Regions from separate parts of the Mus musculus genome. Here region 1 is reported to be linked to region 2. The links are microRNA targets in miRTarBase. Many come from high-throughput screens and were not tested one by one. Region 2 holds a microRNA gene; the other region holds the end of a gene's coding sequence.
The links. The annotated mature microRNA mmu-miR-142a-3p reads UGUAGUGUUUCCUACUUUAUGGA and lies in region 2 at 3,073-3,095, shown strand. An mRNA with a match to its seed (bases 2 to 7 or 8) in the 3' UTR can be bound and repressed. Matches are read on the target gene's strand: a 7mer-m8 pairs with bases 2 to 8, a 7mer-A1 pairs with bases 2 to 7 and ends in A, and an 8mer does both.

Region 1: the mRNA of Arntl is a reported target of mmu-miR-142a-3p. Seed matches in the 3' UTR shown: 8mer at 2,966-2,973 and 8mer at 3,315-3,322.

Annotation. Positions count from the first base shown.
Region 1 is chr7:113,310,655-113,318,564 of GRCm38, forward strand. It overlaps Arntl (aryl hydrocarbon receptor nuclear translocator-like), which reads left to right. Exons shown (of 20, transcript NM_007489.4): 19 at 2,140-2,242; 20 at 2,805-3,472. The coding sequence ends at 2,965. It overlaps Btbd10 (BTB (POZ) domain containing 10), which reads right to left. Exons shown (of 11, transcript NM_133700.2): 11 at 4,990-6,085. The coding sequence ends at 5,775. Among named protein-coding and RNA genes, the nearest start is that of Gm33721, 53 kb to the left of the region's middle.
Region 2 is chr11:87,753,831-87,761,740 of GRCm38, forward strand. Mir142 (microRNA 142) reads left to right here and starts at 3,034; the gene lies at 3,034-3,097. Mir142b (microRNA 142b) reads right to left here and starts at 3,125; the gene lies at 3,011-3,125. Tspoap1 (TSPO associated protein 1) reads left to right here and starts at 6,711. Exons shown (of 32, transcript NM_172449.2): 1 at 6,711-7,898. The coding sequence starts at 7,572.

The sequences.
Region 1 (7,910 bases), not on the chromosome of region 2:
TGAAGCATTAGAAATGACTAACAGAGGGCCTGGAGATGGCCCAGCTGTCGAGAGCACCTGTTAAGAGGACCCAGGTTCGATTTCTAATACCTACATAGCTGCTCACACTGGAGTCTGTGACTCCAGTTCCAGGGGAGCTGACACCGCACTTTTGGCCTCCATGGGCACTGCACATGTGATATACTTAACATGTATTTATATATAAGCAAAGCACTCATATAAACATTGAAAAGACTATTAAAATGAAAAATTATGGAGCTTTACTGCATACCTACCACTCACTATCGTTGCTTCAAGAAGCGTACCTGTGTGGTTCTGTCACAAGCCGAACTGGCTGCTCCTTCCCATTTATTTGCAACTTCAAGGAAAACAACTGGCAGTGGTCAGATCTGGGCTTTCAGTCAAGCCTGGGATTTTCAGAAAACTTGTACCTGCTACTTGGAGCTCAATCCCTTCCTCAGATTTACACAATGACAAAAGTTTCACGTTAACTTAAAAGATGTGCTGACCAACACCCTCTAAGTCGGCGGTTCTCAACCTTCCTAATGCTATGACCCTCATGTTGTGGTGCCCCGCCCCCAACCATTAAGCTATTTTTGTTACTATTTCATAACTATAATTTTGCTGATACAGGTTGTAAATATCTAGTATGCAACCCCTGTGAAAGGGTCATTTGACCCCTAAGGGATAATGCCACAGGTTGAAAAAGGCTGCTATAAGTGATCAGTACAGGCTATTTCAAAGTTACCCAAGATCAATCCATTCTAAGTGAGCTAATACTCTCTAAGTGATCAGTGTAGACTATTTCAAAATCACCAAAGAAATATTCTTTCTGAATGCCAAGATATACCCATGGATTTTTAACATAACAGGCACTCACCGGAATTCCACACTCTAGTGAACACTTATGAGACATATACTTACGTGCTGAGGCATCATCAAAGAATGTTAGAATTGGCGAAAAGGCAAGACTTCATATAACCACTGTGTGTTGGGGGCTAAAATTTTCTTATACATGTCAAATTACATTTACACAGACTGAATGGAACAGGTGTAAGAATCTAGCGGAACTCTCTTAAGCCAGGCATTATATTTGCAAGTTATAAAGCATTAACACACTTCTAAAGGTTTTTGTAATGTTTGCTTTTTCATTAAAATACTTTTATTCAAGCTCATAGTTTATGTTTCAAAAATCATGTTATTTATATGAATGAACCCTACCTAAAACATTTCGGGGGCGGGGAGAGCAACAGTCATTTTTATGAATGTACAGGGATCCCCATATTGTACAACTGAACTGTAAAGAACCAAGTTGCAGTGCCATCTGCTGGCAAGGTCTGAAATTGGTGTTTCTGAAACCCAGCAGCCATTGTTTCCTAACTCTGTCTACCTCTCCAAGGCTGTTTCTGAAGCTTAGCCCAGGGCAGGGAAGCTTGGCAGTCCAGGTCAGAGTGTTTCTGGTGGGGGTGGGAATGGGACTTTAAGACAGTTCAACTTCTCCTATAGAGGAATGATAGCAATGATCACATCTTAGGAAGAGAAAATCAGGTTACTTAATTTAGTGCCTCTGGTATACCTGATGATCAAATGATGATCAAAGATTTACTTAAATGCTTTTTTTTCCTCGTTTTTCAAGTCAGGGTTTGTCTGTATAGTGGTAGCGCATGCCTTTAATCCCAGTACTTGGGAGGCAGAGGCAGGTGGATTTCTGAGTACTTAAGTGTTTTCTTGTCCTAGTTGTTTCTCTTCACAAATTATTACTGACCTCAATTACTTCAGCAGTTATCTGTTGGCATGTGTCACTCACTGCCTTACACTGGGATCAGTGATGTTTAAGCCTTGGCTTTAAATAAATACATGGGTGCTGTGATCCTAGCTAGCTGATTTACCCAGCTTTTGATATCTTCATGTACTGTGTAGAGAAAATATACTATGTAGAGAAAACAGTTTATAGAGGAGGCTGTTCCCCCTCATTATGACTGTTCTAACAGGTCCTTGCTTGATAGGGGGAAAAAATAGGAAATTGAACCCATTTGAAATCCCCCCACCCAACACCTTTCGTCTTCTTAAGTTACAGTGCATATGATAGTAATTTTCTATTTGAGTGGGAAACTTTACTTTGTCCCCTTTTATTTGCAGATTCTAAATGGAGGGACTCCAGACATTCCTTCCACTGGACTATTACCAGGGCAGGCTCAGGAGACCCCAGGGTATCCCTATTCTGATAGTTCTTCTATTCTTGGTAAGTGTGTTATCATTCACCTCCATGAGTGAGTAGTTTGCAAAATATCTTCTACAAAGAGGGTTTAAGAACTGATTACACAAGCTAGTTTTGAAGCAGTGGATAACAAAGTGGATGTGTGAACTGTTTAAATACTCCAGGGACCCATGTGCATCTAGAGCCGCCCAGGCATAGGTTTTCTCCCACATAGTGCAGTTTTTCCGAGGGAGAGCCCATACAGCTGCAGAGGCACTGAGTTCCCCAGTGACTCCAGCGCACCCAGCCCCTTCTCAATCTGCTTTTAGTTGCCATTGTTTCTAGAACCAACTCTTGACTAACTCGTTACCAAAATACTAAAATGGGTTCAACTCAAATTATTATTGCATTTTAAGGATTTTTGACCTTAATTTTTAGATGTTCTTTCTGAAAGGGTAGTAACAATGAAAAGTTATGGCAATGGAATCCCCCAAATAACCCCTTGCTCTTGTTAAATAAACGTCCTTATTGGTGTGTTGAGAAGTTGCTTTCCAAATATAAGTATGCTTTGTTATTCCTTACTGACAGTCCTTTCTTCCTTCCACAGGTGAGAACCCCCACATAGGCATCGATATGATAGATAACGACCAAGGATCAAGTAGTCCCAGTAACGATGAGGCAGCAATGGCTGTCATCATGAGCCTCTTGGAAGCAGATGCGGGGCTGGGTGGCCCCGTTGACTTTAGTGACTTGCCATGGCCGCTGTAGACACTACATTTGCTTTGGCAACAGCTGCAGTATCAAAGTGCATTAATGGTGAAGTTTTACAGTCTGTGAAGCTTACTGGATAGAGAGAGAACAGCTTTTATGTACTGACTCCATAAAAGCCACCTCAGAGCCATTGATACAAGTCAATCTACCATGTGTAACTTCAGACAAAGTGGAACTAAACCTGCTCCAGTGTTTCCTCATCATTGAGTTTGGGCTAGCTGTGGATAGCTTGCATTAATTGTATATTTTGGATTTTGTTTGTGTTGAATTTTTTAATCATTGTGCACAGAAGCATCATTGGTAGCTTTTATATGCAAAATGGTCATTTCAGATGTATGGTGTTTTTACACTACAAAGAAGTCCCCCATGTGGATATTTCTTATACTAATTGTATCATAAAGCTGTTTATTCTTCCTTGTAAGAATCCTTTACTATAAATATGGGTTAAAGTATAATGTATTAGACAGTTAAATATTTTTAATAAATGTTTCCCTTGTTCTATAAGTACTGTTCCCAATTGATAATTAGGAAGAAAATCTTCATATGCTACAGGGCTGGTTCATCCACTTCACCAGCGGTCTAAACACATTCCTGCTGTTATGTTTACAATGTCCTTTTGCTCTTATAATGACTTCTTCCATGCTACCAGCTTAGACATATTATAAAAATAGCTCACTTCCAAACTGTAGCCACCTCAACTTATATGAAAACAAAGATATCAACTCCAATTTCCAGTGCTTAGATTTCAAGATTACAAGCTGGCTTCTCTAGACCTGCAGTTACATGGTGTGCTCAAGTCTACCAGGGGTAGATGTAAGCGACGGCATCTGCTCTCTTTCTATGGTCCCATCGACAAACTGAGATGTGATCCCACCAAACTAAAGTTCACTCTGGAAACCAATGGGTTGGTTTACTGGGCTTCCATACAGACACAGGCGAGAGGTTCCCTACAGGTATGCTCCTACTCAAAGGCCACACTAGAAAGCCTTTACTGGGGCTGGAGAGATGGCTCAGCAGTTAAGAGCACTGACTGCTCTTCTGAAGGTCCTGAATTCAAATCCCAGCAACCACATGGAGGCTCACAACCATCCGTAATGAGATCTGGTGCCCTCTTCTGGTGTGTCTGAAGACAGCTACAGTGTACTTACATTTAATAATAAATTAAAAAAAAAAAAAAAAAAGAAAGCCTTTACCCAGCTGAGAAAACAGGTTTCCCATAGGCATCCAGATGGAGCCTTAACCTTTTCCTCATCTTCCCCAGCCTTATATATTCTTATTCCCTCCAAGGCCATGCCCAGTTAAAGGCAGAGTTGTATAGAACTGGAGGCGGAACAGCTGGACACGCAGGTGAGGAAGGTCTTGTGATTGTCTCCACATCTCCTTGGGGGGATATAAACAGTCAAAAAGCCTATCGAGTGTTCTTTTGCAAACAGGCACAGCTGAGCACTCCAAGATGGCAATTCTGTGGCTCAGAGGGCAGTCCTGGACTATTTGTATGGCTACAAAGAGTTAAGTGATCTAAGACCCAAAGCACTTAAAATATGAATCTTTGTTGTAAACCATGAAATATTTAGAGTATTTGATGGAAAGAATATTGAATTAATTAGAAACTAGTTCTGAAAGTTAGGGTTCCTAATACAGGCGTCATTCCATTTTCATATCCTGAAAATCTTGATCAACTGCTTTGGATTTATAGCATTTTTCCTGAACTTATAGGAAATCTAAGTGCCTCTTGCAAATATACCAAAGCGCTTTTAAAACTGTCATTTGAGCCGGGCGTGGTGGCGCACGCCTTTAATCCCAGCACTCGGGAGGCAGAGGCAGGCGTATTTCTGAGTTCGAGGCCAGCCTGGTCTACAAAGTGAGCTCCAGGACAGCCAGGGCTATACAGAGAAACCCTGTCTCGAAAAACCAAAAAAAAAAAAAAAAAAAAAAAAAAAAACTGTCATTTGATTTCTAGTTATACATAACATATATGACACAGAATCTAGCCAAGGTGTTCATAAAGTTGGTCAGAAACATTAAAACAATGAAATTTTATTTTGATGAAAAACTCGAGTTTACAATCATTTAGTAAATGAAGAGCAAACAGTTTGTTTTTCTATCCCATAACTCTTAAGAAAAAAGCATTAGTAAATAAATATATGAACAGATTAAGGATAAGGCAGACTGGACAGTAAACCACCTCTTGACGTTCACCCTCCCTGCATGTGACTCACTCTAATAGGGCTGCAGGGCTCTGGAGATGAGTGAACCAACACTATAAGCATCAAATTTTATCCTAATTGTTTAAATAAACCCAAGATAAATATGTTTTTGCTTGATGTGGGCCAACTATACATACTGTACTGAGGAATACTCTGATAGAAGCACTTATGTTATACTGTGCATCACAGCTCTAAAATGGCTTCAACAGCTCCATTTAACCACCATCTATAAAGTGCAACTTTGTAATATTCATCTTACCTGAGGCAAGATAAATATCAATCTACACTTAAAGTACCCCAGCTGCCAAATTCCCACCACTTCTGAGAAAACCTAGATATGTGAAAAAGGACTGTCCCCATACAAAGAACCAATTTCACAAACCTACTGGTAAACAAATACATTTATAGAACTCGAACGAGGATGCTAAAGTTGTACTCATTAAAAAACCATTCAGCTACCTTTGGTCTTTAAAAAAGCCTACACTGCAGTATCCTAAACATGTGCATCTCACAATGAAGAAAAGTGGCCTCGCAGTGCAGAAGGAGGAGTACGACGTCACTGTGAAGAGTAGCATGCTATGGTTTCAGGAACATCAGCATCACAGCATTGGATTCTGTGCATCAGGATCGAGGTCATTGTTGCCCGAGGCAGGGTGGCTGGGAAGGATATCCAGCTCGTCCACCTGTGGAGTAGGGTGCATGACTACTAGCTGGTCCTGGGGAATGTCTGCAGCAGCTGCTGCCAGATTGGTAATGGATTTACTCTTTACACACTGAAAGTCTACATGCCGACTCTTTCCTTCCTCCTTCTCCCAGGACATTCGAATGAAGGGTCTTTGGACATAATTGTAAATGACTTCTGGACGGCCCCCTGGCCTTTTCTTTACTTTTTCTTTGTAGGTAGGATAGCCTGGAGGAAAGAAAGGAATTTTAAAAGGGGACACTTACAACTTCTCATTCAAGTTAGCTGTTGAGAGCTTTTAAGTTACTTAGTACTCAACCCCCACAAAACACTTTTAAGTGGGACCATGGAGGGTGGCTCTCCATTCAGTGGTGTGTAATCTGCAGTGGGTCTAGGCTTTATCCGAGTACCAGCAGCACTCATTCTCCTCACGGGATGACTGAGCAGAAAGGCCCGAAATTTCTGGCTCCATTAGTCTTCTAGCTTCCTTAAGCTCCAGCCTTATCTTTATATTGCTTTAGAATTTTTGTTAAATAATAAAGAATAATCAGCTCTCTAACAGGTTCTTAAATTCTGCAGCTAGCTTAGCAAGGGCAATATTTTAATATTACACCATTTTATTATGACTTTCGACAGTGAATTAAATTTCTATCTACAAAGAGCTTTACTTAATTATAATTTTTTTGAATCATAGTCACTAAAAGTAACAACTAGTAAAAACAACCCAAAGTTTCAGAAAGCTTTCAATTATTTATTAGTAAAGAGACTTCTCCAAACACATAGAGTCCTAGGAAAATACTATACACAAGTCTTCCCCTCCTTTCTATCAGCAAGAACTAAACTAGAGATCAGTAAACTTTTCTGTCACAGGCTACAGGACATCATCTTGTAAATGACACAGTTTCTACTGAGCCTACCTAACTTTACCACTGTGAAGTGAAATCAGCCACAGAGAACAAAGAAATGACTCTAATAAAGCTATTAAAAAAAAAAGGCAACAAGTTGGAATTTGTATCATAAAAAGGTTATCAGAAAGAGAACCGAAAAGATGATCTGTACTGTCTAAGGGCATGTGTAAGTCTATGTGTGAGGAAGCCTGGAGGGGTTTTGGTCAACAAAGCCACAGGCCTTCTTTCTCTTACACTTCCAGTCCCCAACCATTAGAAGGTGCAGCCCTGAAGGTCTGAAGGGTTCTTTGGATTCCCTTGTTCTCTTTCCTTCCTAGGCTTTTTAGAAGATTCAGCTTCCTATGTGACTGTATTCCCATCATCCAAACAGAATCACTTCTATACAAACGGAATCATAATGCGTGCTTGCTTTAAAACGGCTAATAATTTTTTTATGCTTCAAGGAGAAGGATGTGTATGCCTTAGTTCTATCAGGCTGTTTTAAAACCTGGTTCCAAATGACTCAATCTCAACTACCTTTATGCTATATATTTCTTCTCATACTATAAAGTCCCAGATGCCAGAAAAGCAAGAGGTTCCCAGGACCCAACAGGGATGATGACATTAGCTGAAATACCCAACAAAGGGGAAGGAGAACCTGTAGAGAGACCATATCCCGAGGTTAGGCACAGCCCCAGTTGAGGGATGGGGCCATCCACTCATCTCCAAAATTTTAACCCAGAATTGCTCCAGAGACTGCCCTACCTGGGGATCCATCCCATATGCAGACACCAAACTCAGACACTATTGCTGATGTCAGGAAGTGCTTGCTGACAGGAGCCTGATCAACACAGATGAGATGCTCACCATCGGACTGAGCACAGGGACCTCAATGGAGGAGTTAGTGGAAATGAAGGAGATAGAAGGGTTTGCAACCCAATAGGAAGAACAGAACCCCCAGGGCTCCCAGGGACTAAACCACCAAACAAAGAGTACACATGGAGGGACCCATGGCTTCAGCTGGCATCAATGGGAGGGGAGGCCCTTGGTCCTGTGAAGGTTTGATGTCTCAGTGAAGGAGAATATTAGGGCAGTCAGGCAGGAATGGGTGGGGGGGGGCGGTCGTACCTTCATAGAAGTAGGGGGAAGGGGATGGGGGTTTGCAG
Region 2 (7,910 bases):
GAGATGAGTCCCGAGTGGTTTGGGGCACTAAAAACTGTCCACAGAGGGGACACAGCCTCTCGGATGGAGCACCCACCATTCTGCTCAGGACAGAAGAGGAGCTGGAGTGCTTCTTGGACTCAGGGCTGCCATGTTACAAGTTGTCACATACAAGATGTGTCACATACACATCTGCGGCACAACAGGGACCAGAAGCCAGGTTCTGTCTTTCATTCTGTGGCACATCGTCTCTAGGACAGGGTGTCTTCCCAGTGATAGCTCTAGGTCTGTCCTAAGCCCCAAAGGATAGGGGTCCAGAAACCCAGGTTACTGCACAACTTTGATATTCTTATCCTCTTTATCTCCTGGGGCAGCCACTTCCCCTCCACCCAGGTCTGAGGCCTGGTGGTGGTCTCTTAAAGGAACACTGACCTATTTTTGGCCAGCTAGCCTTGCAAGACTGTTCACCACTGTTCCTCTAGACCTTAGGGGTGAAGGGTCAGGCTCTTCCTTTCCTACTCTCACTTGAGGGTACTGGAACAGACACACTCTTTTCCAGGTTGGCAGCACCTCTCAGAAGGAAGGAAAGCACGTGGCGCAGTCTTCTTTTCTCTGTCTGACCCTCCTCTAGTTCCCTTCTGGCCTTGAATCTGTAGTCCCTGAAGCCAGTGTGGATCTGTGGCCAGACACTCATGGCTTTCCCAAAGGAGATATTAATGGTTCTTCCTACTCCTCCTGCCTCCTCTAACTGCCCCTCAAGACCATTCTTGACCCCAGAGCCTAGCTCACTGAGAGCCTTGGGGAAGCCGGGGTTAATATGTGGGGGCTCATACTCAGCCCCCCTAAACTCCTGCTCAGACTCCCACCTTGCTCCCATCCCCCAACTACAGGCCTAGGCTGAGCAGTTTCCTGTCTTCCCCATGGGGAAAGTGGGGGTTGACATGCAGGTGGGCGGGACCCTGCCCACATCCGGTGGCCAAGAGAACCTCCTGTCAGAGCCTTTTTCCTCCCCTCCCCCAAAGACTCCTAGGTACCTATGCTCTACCCCAGGGCCATTATCCTGACGTTCTTTGTTCTTGCATCCTTGTGGGCCCCCAAAACAGCATGAAGACCCAATCCAGTTGTGACCCACACCCCTATAGTGTGTGTCACCTGATCAGCGAGGCTCCCCTGGGGAAAGTGGTGGCTTTCAGAGATGTTGAGGACACTGAACCTAAGAACGATGTTGGTGTATGGGTTCCAACTCCCCTTCATGCCTCTGCACCTTCCACAGCCTCTCAGAAGAACATACAGAGCAACCCTGCTTTGCTTGGTGGCAGTGACCTGAGGAAAGGCCCATCGGTGGGGGTGGGGCTCAGGGAAACGTACTTTTTTAGTGTTGGGATTCAGGATTTTTTTTTTTTTCTGGGTGCTCACTGAAGGCCCTAGCAGGGAACTGTTGTCTCCTGGGGTCACTTCCAACGAGTCAGTGTCAACTCTTGAATCATCTCCTGTGGCTGGAGCCATTGGGGAAGGGCAAGCCTGGGAGCCAGGAAGCCACCTGCCCAGGGCATGTGAGATGGCCTCTTCAGTCCCCCCCACCCCGCCCCCCTCCCGCCAATACCCAGCCTTGTCGCTGGTTTCCTGTCAGTCTGCACTCCCCAGGGAGGGGAGGGGTGGCTAATCTCTGATGCGTTGTGGAGGCGGGCTCCAAGACCGTTGGGCGCCCTGAGATCCGACCCACGTGGCCTCGGGGTTATAAGCCCTACCCACCCTGAAGGGAACCCCACTTTGGATCCAGCTCTTCTCAGCTCTGCAGCATCAGGTAAGACCTAAATCTTCACTCTGGCCTCAACCAGGGCTCTTTAATTCTGGGCCCAAGGCTCAGAGAAGAGCTTGGGGTGCAGGTTCTAAGTGGAGGTTCCGGACAGCAGGAGGGGCTGGGTGCCAGAGCTCCCTAACAAAGTTTTAGGCTTAGGAGCAATGACTCTTGGATCCACTAGCCTTCACTGGGGACAGCTTTTACAATCTTTTAAATCTTCTTGGGTTTTTTGTTTTTTGTTTGTTTGTTTGTTTTTTGGGGGAAGCTGGGAACCGAACCCAGGGCTTTGCGCTTACCATTGAGCTAAATCCCCAACCCCATCTTTTAAATCTACAGAATTAAAAAAGGAAAAATTAGCCGGGCGGTGGTGGCGAACACCTTTAATCCCTGCACTCGGGAGGCAGAGACAGATGGATTTCTGAGTTCGAGGCCAGCTTGGTCTACAAAGTGAGTTCTAGGACAGCTTGGGCTATACAGAGAAACCCTGTCTCGAAAAACCAAAAAAAAAAAAAAAAAAAAAAAAAAGGAAAAATTGGCTTCTGAGCCCCCCTCTCGAAAATAACAGTCTCTAGCTCTTAGGGAGGAGGGCCAGAGAGTAGGGAGGAGTTGCGAGAGTGGGAGAGTGGGCTGAAACAGTGAGACTGGTATCGGCAAGTGGTGCCCAGGCATTTTTTCCACGCAACATGGCCGCCATTTCTGCCAACACACTTGGATTCCAGCTTGAGGAGCAGGAATGAGGGAGTCAGGGGCCTTGTTCCAATGGGGAGACTAGAGACAGAGGCGTGTGGGAGTGGAGGCCTTTGTCTAATGGGAAGGCTGGGGACCGAGGCCTTTATGGGAGGAGGCCATGGCTGCCTCCGTTGGATTCAAGACTGTGGGTCATACGGCTGGGAAGCACCACCCAGGATGTTGCAGTTCTAAAGATGGGGATGAGCCTTCTGGAGTGGCTGTGGTCTTTACCTGAGTGTCCCCGAGAAGGGAGAGAATAGGGTGGAAACCCGGAGGGGGTGGGGAGTGGAGGGAAGAAGGTTACAAAGAGGAAGTTGGGCGGGGGAAGAAGAGGCTCATCTGGCGCCATGTTGAGTCACCACCCACAAGGCCCAGGGCGGGCCCTCTAGGGGGCCACAGGCAGGGTGGAGCGGTCCCTGGGAAGTTACACGGAGGGGAGGGGGCAGGGGCCTTTATTAAAGCAGGAGTCGGCAAGAAAAGCAGGTGGCCTGAAGAATCCCCGTGGACAGACAGACAGTGCAGTCACCCATAAAGTAGAAAGCACTACTAACAGCACTGGAGGGTGTAGTGTTTCCTACTTTATGGATGAGTGCACTGTGGGCTTCGGAGACCACGCCACGCCGCGGCCCCCTGCCACCGTCCTCCACTCCAACATCAAGGAAACAGGTGAGCATCTCTCACACGCCCTCATTTGGCCAGGCTCCCCGAAAGACCTTCATGGCTCCCCCAAAGCACGGTGCTTCCTGACCCCTGATACTTGGGGAGACACCACAGCCGCTCTCTCGAATGCACGTCCGTGAGGATATGGGGTGGGGCCGGATGTGTGGGGCCTTGGTCCTGCATCGCAGGCCGACTGGGGGTTCGAGAAGGGAGCCGGATGGATGGGTAAGGGTCACGGGGCCCTCAACACTAATAAAGAATGGACTGGTTTCGCTTTTGTCTGACTCTGTTATTGGGGTTGTGTGAGTTCCCCGGATGCCCGGGAACAGAACTGACGCAGAAAGACAGGCTTCGCTGACATGAGCAGAAGACCTTGGCCTGACTAAGACACAGCCTGGGGGTGGGAAGGCTTGGGCCACCGGAAGTAGACTTTGTAGCAACGTGAAGAAAGGGTATGAGATGACCTCTACCTTTGGCTCTAATTTCTATGCTAGCTTCCTTTTACTCTCTATACCTCCAAAATGAAGACTGTTTGCCTCTCGTTTTGATCTAAGAAAGTCTATAGAGCCGTGGTTCTCAACCTTCCTGACTCTGCGACCCTTTAACACAATTCCTCATGGTTGTCGTGACCCCCCAACCATAAAATTATTTCCGTTGCTACTTCATATGTATAATTGTGCAACTGTAATGAATTGTAATGTAAATATCTGTGTTTTCTGATGGTCTTGAGTGGCCCTGTAAAAGGGTTGTCTGCCTCCCAAGGGATTGCAGCCCATAGCTTGAGAACCATTGGTCTAGAGGAACTTTTTTTTAAAAGAGATTTTATTATATCTAAGTACACTGTAACTGTGTTCAGACTCACAAGAAGAGGCCATCAGATCTCATTACAGATGGTTGTGAGCCACCATGTGGTTGCTGGGATTTGAACTCAGGACCTTTGGAAGAGCAGTTAGTGTTCTTGACCACTGAGCCATCTCACCAGCCCAAGAGGATCTTTCTTTCCTTTCCTTCCTCCTTTCTTTCTTCTCTCTCTCTCTCTCTCTCTCTCTCTCTCTCTCTCTCTCTCTCTCTCTCTCTCTCTCTCTCTCTCTCTCTCCTTTAATTTTTTGAGACAGGGTTCCTCTGTGTAGCCCTGGCTGTCCTGGAACTCACTCCGGACCAGACTGGCTCAAACTCAGAAATCTGCCTGCCTCTGCCTCCCAAGTGCTGGGATTAAAGGTGTGTGCCATCACTGCCTGGCTCCAAGAGGATTCTTATTAGTGTAAGAGTTGGGCAAAACCACGCTAGCACAGTGTGTGCCCACCTGCCTTGTACATGTCTACACAGGTCATTGGTGTTAATAAAACACACTTTCACCATCATGTGCATTTCATCAGGGCCTATACACCGATGCCAGCCACATGCATGAACTGTGACATATAGACAATGAGACGTGGCTGGTGTATCATATGGGTATACAGTCACCTAGGCCAAACACATGTTCATTAGTACTTACACATATAATGCCAAAGAATATACCCATTAGTGACATTCACATGTGGTGGCTTCATGTACATAAGACACTAACCGCGAGATCATCAAGATCTCTCTGGATTGCCACATTGATGAATTGAAAAACATTTAATTTGTGTGTGTGTGTGAATGCTGGTGAGTGTACCAATGTACTGTGGTGTGCATTTAGGGCCAGAGAACACCTTGCGTGGAGGAGTTCTCCACTTTGGCCACGTGGTTACTGGGGATCAAACTCCAGTGGTCAGGCTTGGTGGCAAATGTCCTACCCACAGAGCCATCCTATTGACTAGGATTGAAAAACAAAATGTGTTTTTGATTGCAAGCCAATTGTAGATGTAATTACAACCCCAGCAACTGGAAGAGGAAGGACCAGCTTGAGCTAAGACTCTTACCAGAGAGGAAGCTGTCTCTTTATAATGTATAGACTTTGCTTGTTATTCTTGTGATTTCCTCAATAGTACAGTACAATTATTTTAACATTCACATCGTATTATAAAATAGGTATAAACAATCTAGAGATGATTTAAGGCATGGGGGTGGGGTGGGGCTGGGCTGAGGATATGGTTTAGTGGTAGAGTGCTTGCCTAGCATGCAAGAGACCTTGGGTATACAGAAGGATGTGTATAAGCCATGGGCGGATATTTCATCACCTTACATAAAAGGACTTAAGCATTTGAGAACTTAGTGGGGTATCCTGAGATGATCTTATAGACAGTCCCCTTAGGCATGGAGGGGTGAGAATATATATACAGAGACTGCGTGCACATCATGCCAGGCAAGTTTATCATGTACATAGATCATTGTATGCCATTGTACATTATTATATGACAATGTATGTCATAATGTGTTAGTGCTGTATAATGGCATGATATCTGTGATTTATAGCAAAATGCAATGATAAACTCATACGTAATTGCATGCACATAGACATTGTAGCAAATAGACATACAATGACACAAAACCATGCACAGATATATATCCAATGAGATTCATAGACAAAATAGCACACATACATGCAGTGATCTCCATGTATACACAGACATACTATGCATACTCTTCTATACATACATGTAATATGACATGCATATGCATGCTGACTGAAAGTTACATGACATAGCATGTGTACTGATGTTTAGACTGCTTTAGAGAAATGAATGTTACCTTCTCTCTTATGCAACTCCAACCCCTACCCAGTTCCATTGGCTCTGGCCTGGGTGGAGCCTACTGTCTGGGTGGGGGGTGTTCTCTATGCTTTAGCTGCTATTCCATAGGGGTGCCACATGAGGGCCCTCGACCTTGGCTTGTCTTGCGTCTAGGAGCAACATTCTTATCTCTCGAGATCTAGGTGCCCCACATACAGGCAGACACCTAGGTTGGGGCAATTCCTATGTCCTTGTTCCCAAAAGCCATTTTTTTTTCATAGCAAGTAAATAAATAAAGCCTAATGCTAGACAGAAGATGAACTTCCTGATGGTTGAGGGAAAATCAGCCCAAAAGGTCCTGTCTTATGATCTCTCCTGCTAGCCTGTGAAGGCTGGGCTGTCCCCCAAATGTGATCTGCCATGGGGAAGCTGAAGTCGTTTTTCAGCCTATTTCAACACTCTGTCCTTTTGCTCGTCTTTCTATTTTCAGACTTTTATTTCTTTGTTTTATTCCAAATCCCACCATTTCAGCTCTGTCCTTTTCTACAGCTAGGTCTCTGTCACATTGTTCTATCCCCATCAGTCTTGCCTGAAAGGAGAGGACTGTCTCTACTCCCTTTCCTCTGCACCCTGGAAGTGAGGGTCTGTGGGGTCAAGGGGATGAAGAGGCCATGTTGGGGGGTCCGGAGGGGGTAGCTTTCTAACCTACCATCCAGTAAGGAACCTGCTCTTTCCACTGTCCCGACCCTGCCAGCTTGCCTGCCGGTCCAGCCCACCAGTCCAGCTCCATCGTCATGGAAACCAGCAGCTGACTTCCTATTGGTGGGCAGGAGGGGAGGAGGAGGGGGAAGGGAGGGATGATGATGCTCCCCTGCTCCCCACTCCCCATTCTGAGGCTCTGCCCTCCTTCGTGCCCACCATCTCATTTGGGGAGCTCCGGGACCGCGAGGGACCCTTGCAGTCCCTCGAGCTGAGACTAGCTGAGGCAGAGACTATGAGGCAAGCCGCCCATCGACCCAGGCCTCCTTAGGACCGCCCAGCCACCCAGCAAGCAACTGATCGGCGGCAGCCAGCGGAGAGAAAAGCTGGAGATAAAGGACCACAGTGGATCACTGGGGATCATTCCCAGGAACTCCTGCGGACCCTTTCCAGGCAGAGTGGTCGTGATGGGTGGCCAGACTCACAGACACTGAAAGACACACGCCACTACAGATACACCGGGCTTTACAACACTGAGACAGGACCGGCGACAGCATCACACACTGCCACAGCCCTGCAATACAGACAGCCCCTACCCCCACGCAGAAACAACTGGTAACTCTTAAATAGGCACAGACAGTGACACATAGCACCACCCTTCTCAACATACACAAGTCGGAGTATTCATCCTCCAATCACATAATAAAACATCACTGACCTGCAGGGACAGACCTGGAGGCACACGTACATATATACCTTCAGCCAGGCACTCCTGGTGGTGGTCTCTCACCCCCCCACACACACCCCGTACACACACACACACACACACAAGAGAGAGAGAGAGAACCATGAGCAAACCCCAGCTCCAGTCTGGCAACCCCGATACCTTCTGAACCCTCCTTCGTGGGTGGGAAGAGCTCAGCCAACCTCTGATGGACTCGGTGAAGCCAAACACTTACAGGGAGAATGGTCTAGTCTGGCATGACCCTTGTCAGTCTTCCCGCTGGTGATGTCCCCAGGTCCAGGTTCGGGGGCCCCTTGCCGAAACCATGGAGCAACTGACAACCCTCCCACGGCTTGGAGACCTTGGAGCCATGGAGCCATGGGCACTGCCTGCCTGGCAGCACTGGACTCAGGGCCAGGGGTGCAAACCTGGAGATGCATCTCCAAGCATTGCTGGTACTCCGACAGCTCTGCAGGTTAAAGGATTGAGGTTTGAAGAGAGTTCCAAGCCTGAGGGAGCTCATAGCCCTGGACCTGTCGGAAATACTGATCCTGAAGCAACAGAGACCGGGCTGCCTAAGCTGGGGCAGCAAGCAGAGAGCCCTGGGTACAGCTGTTCCGGGCTGGAGGAGGAGGAGGCACAGGCTTATAAGGTAAGAGAGGAT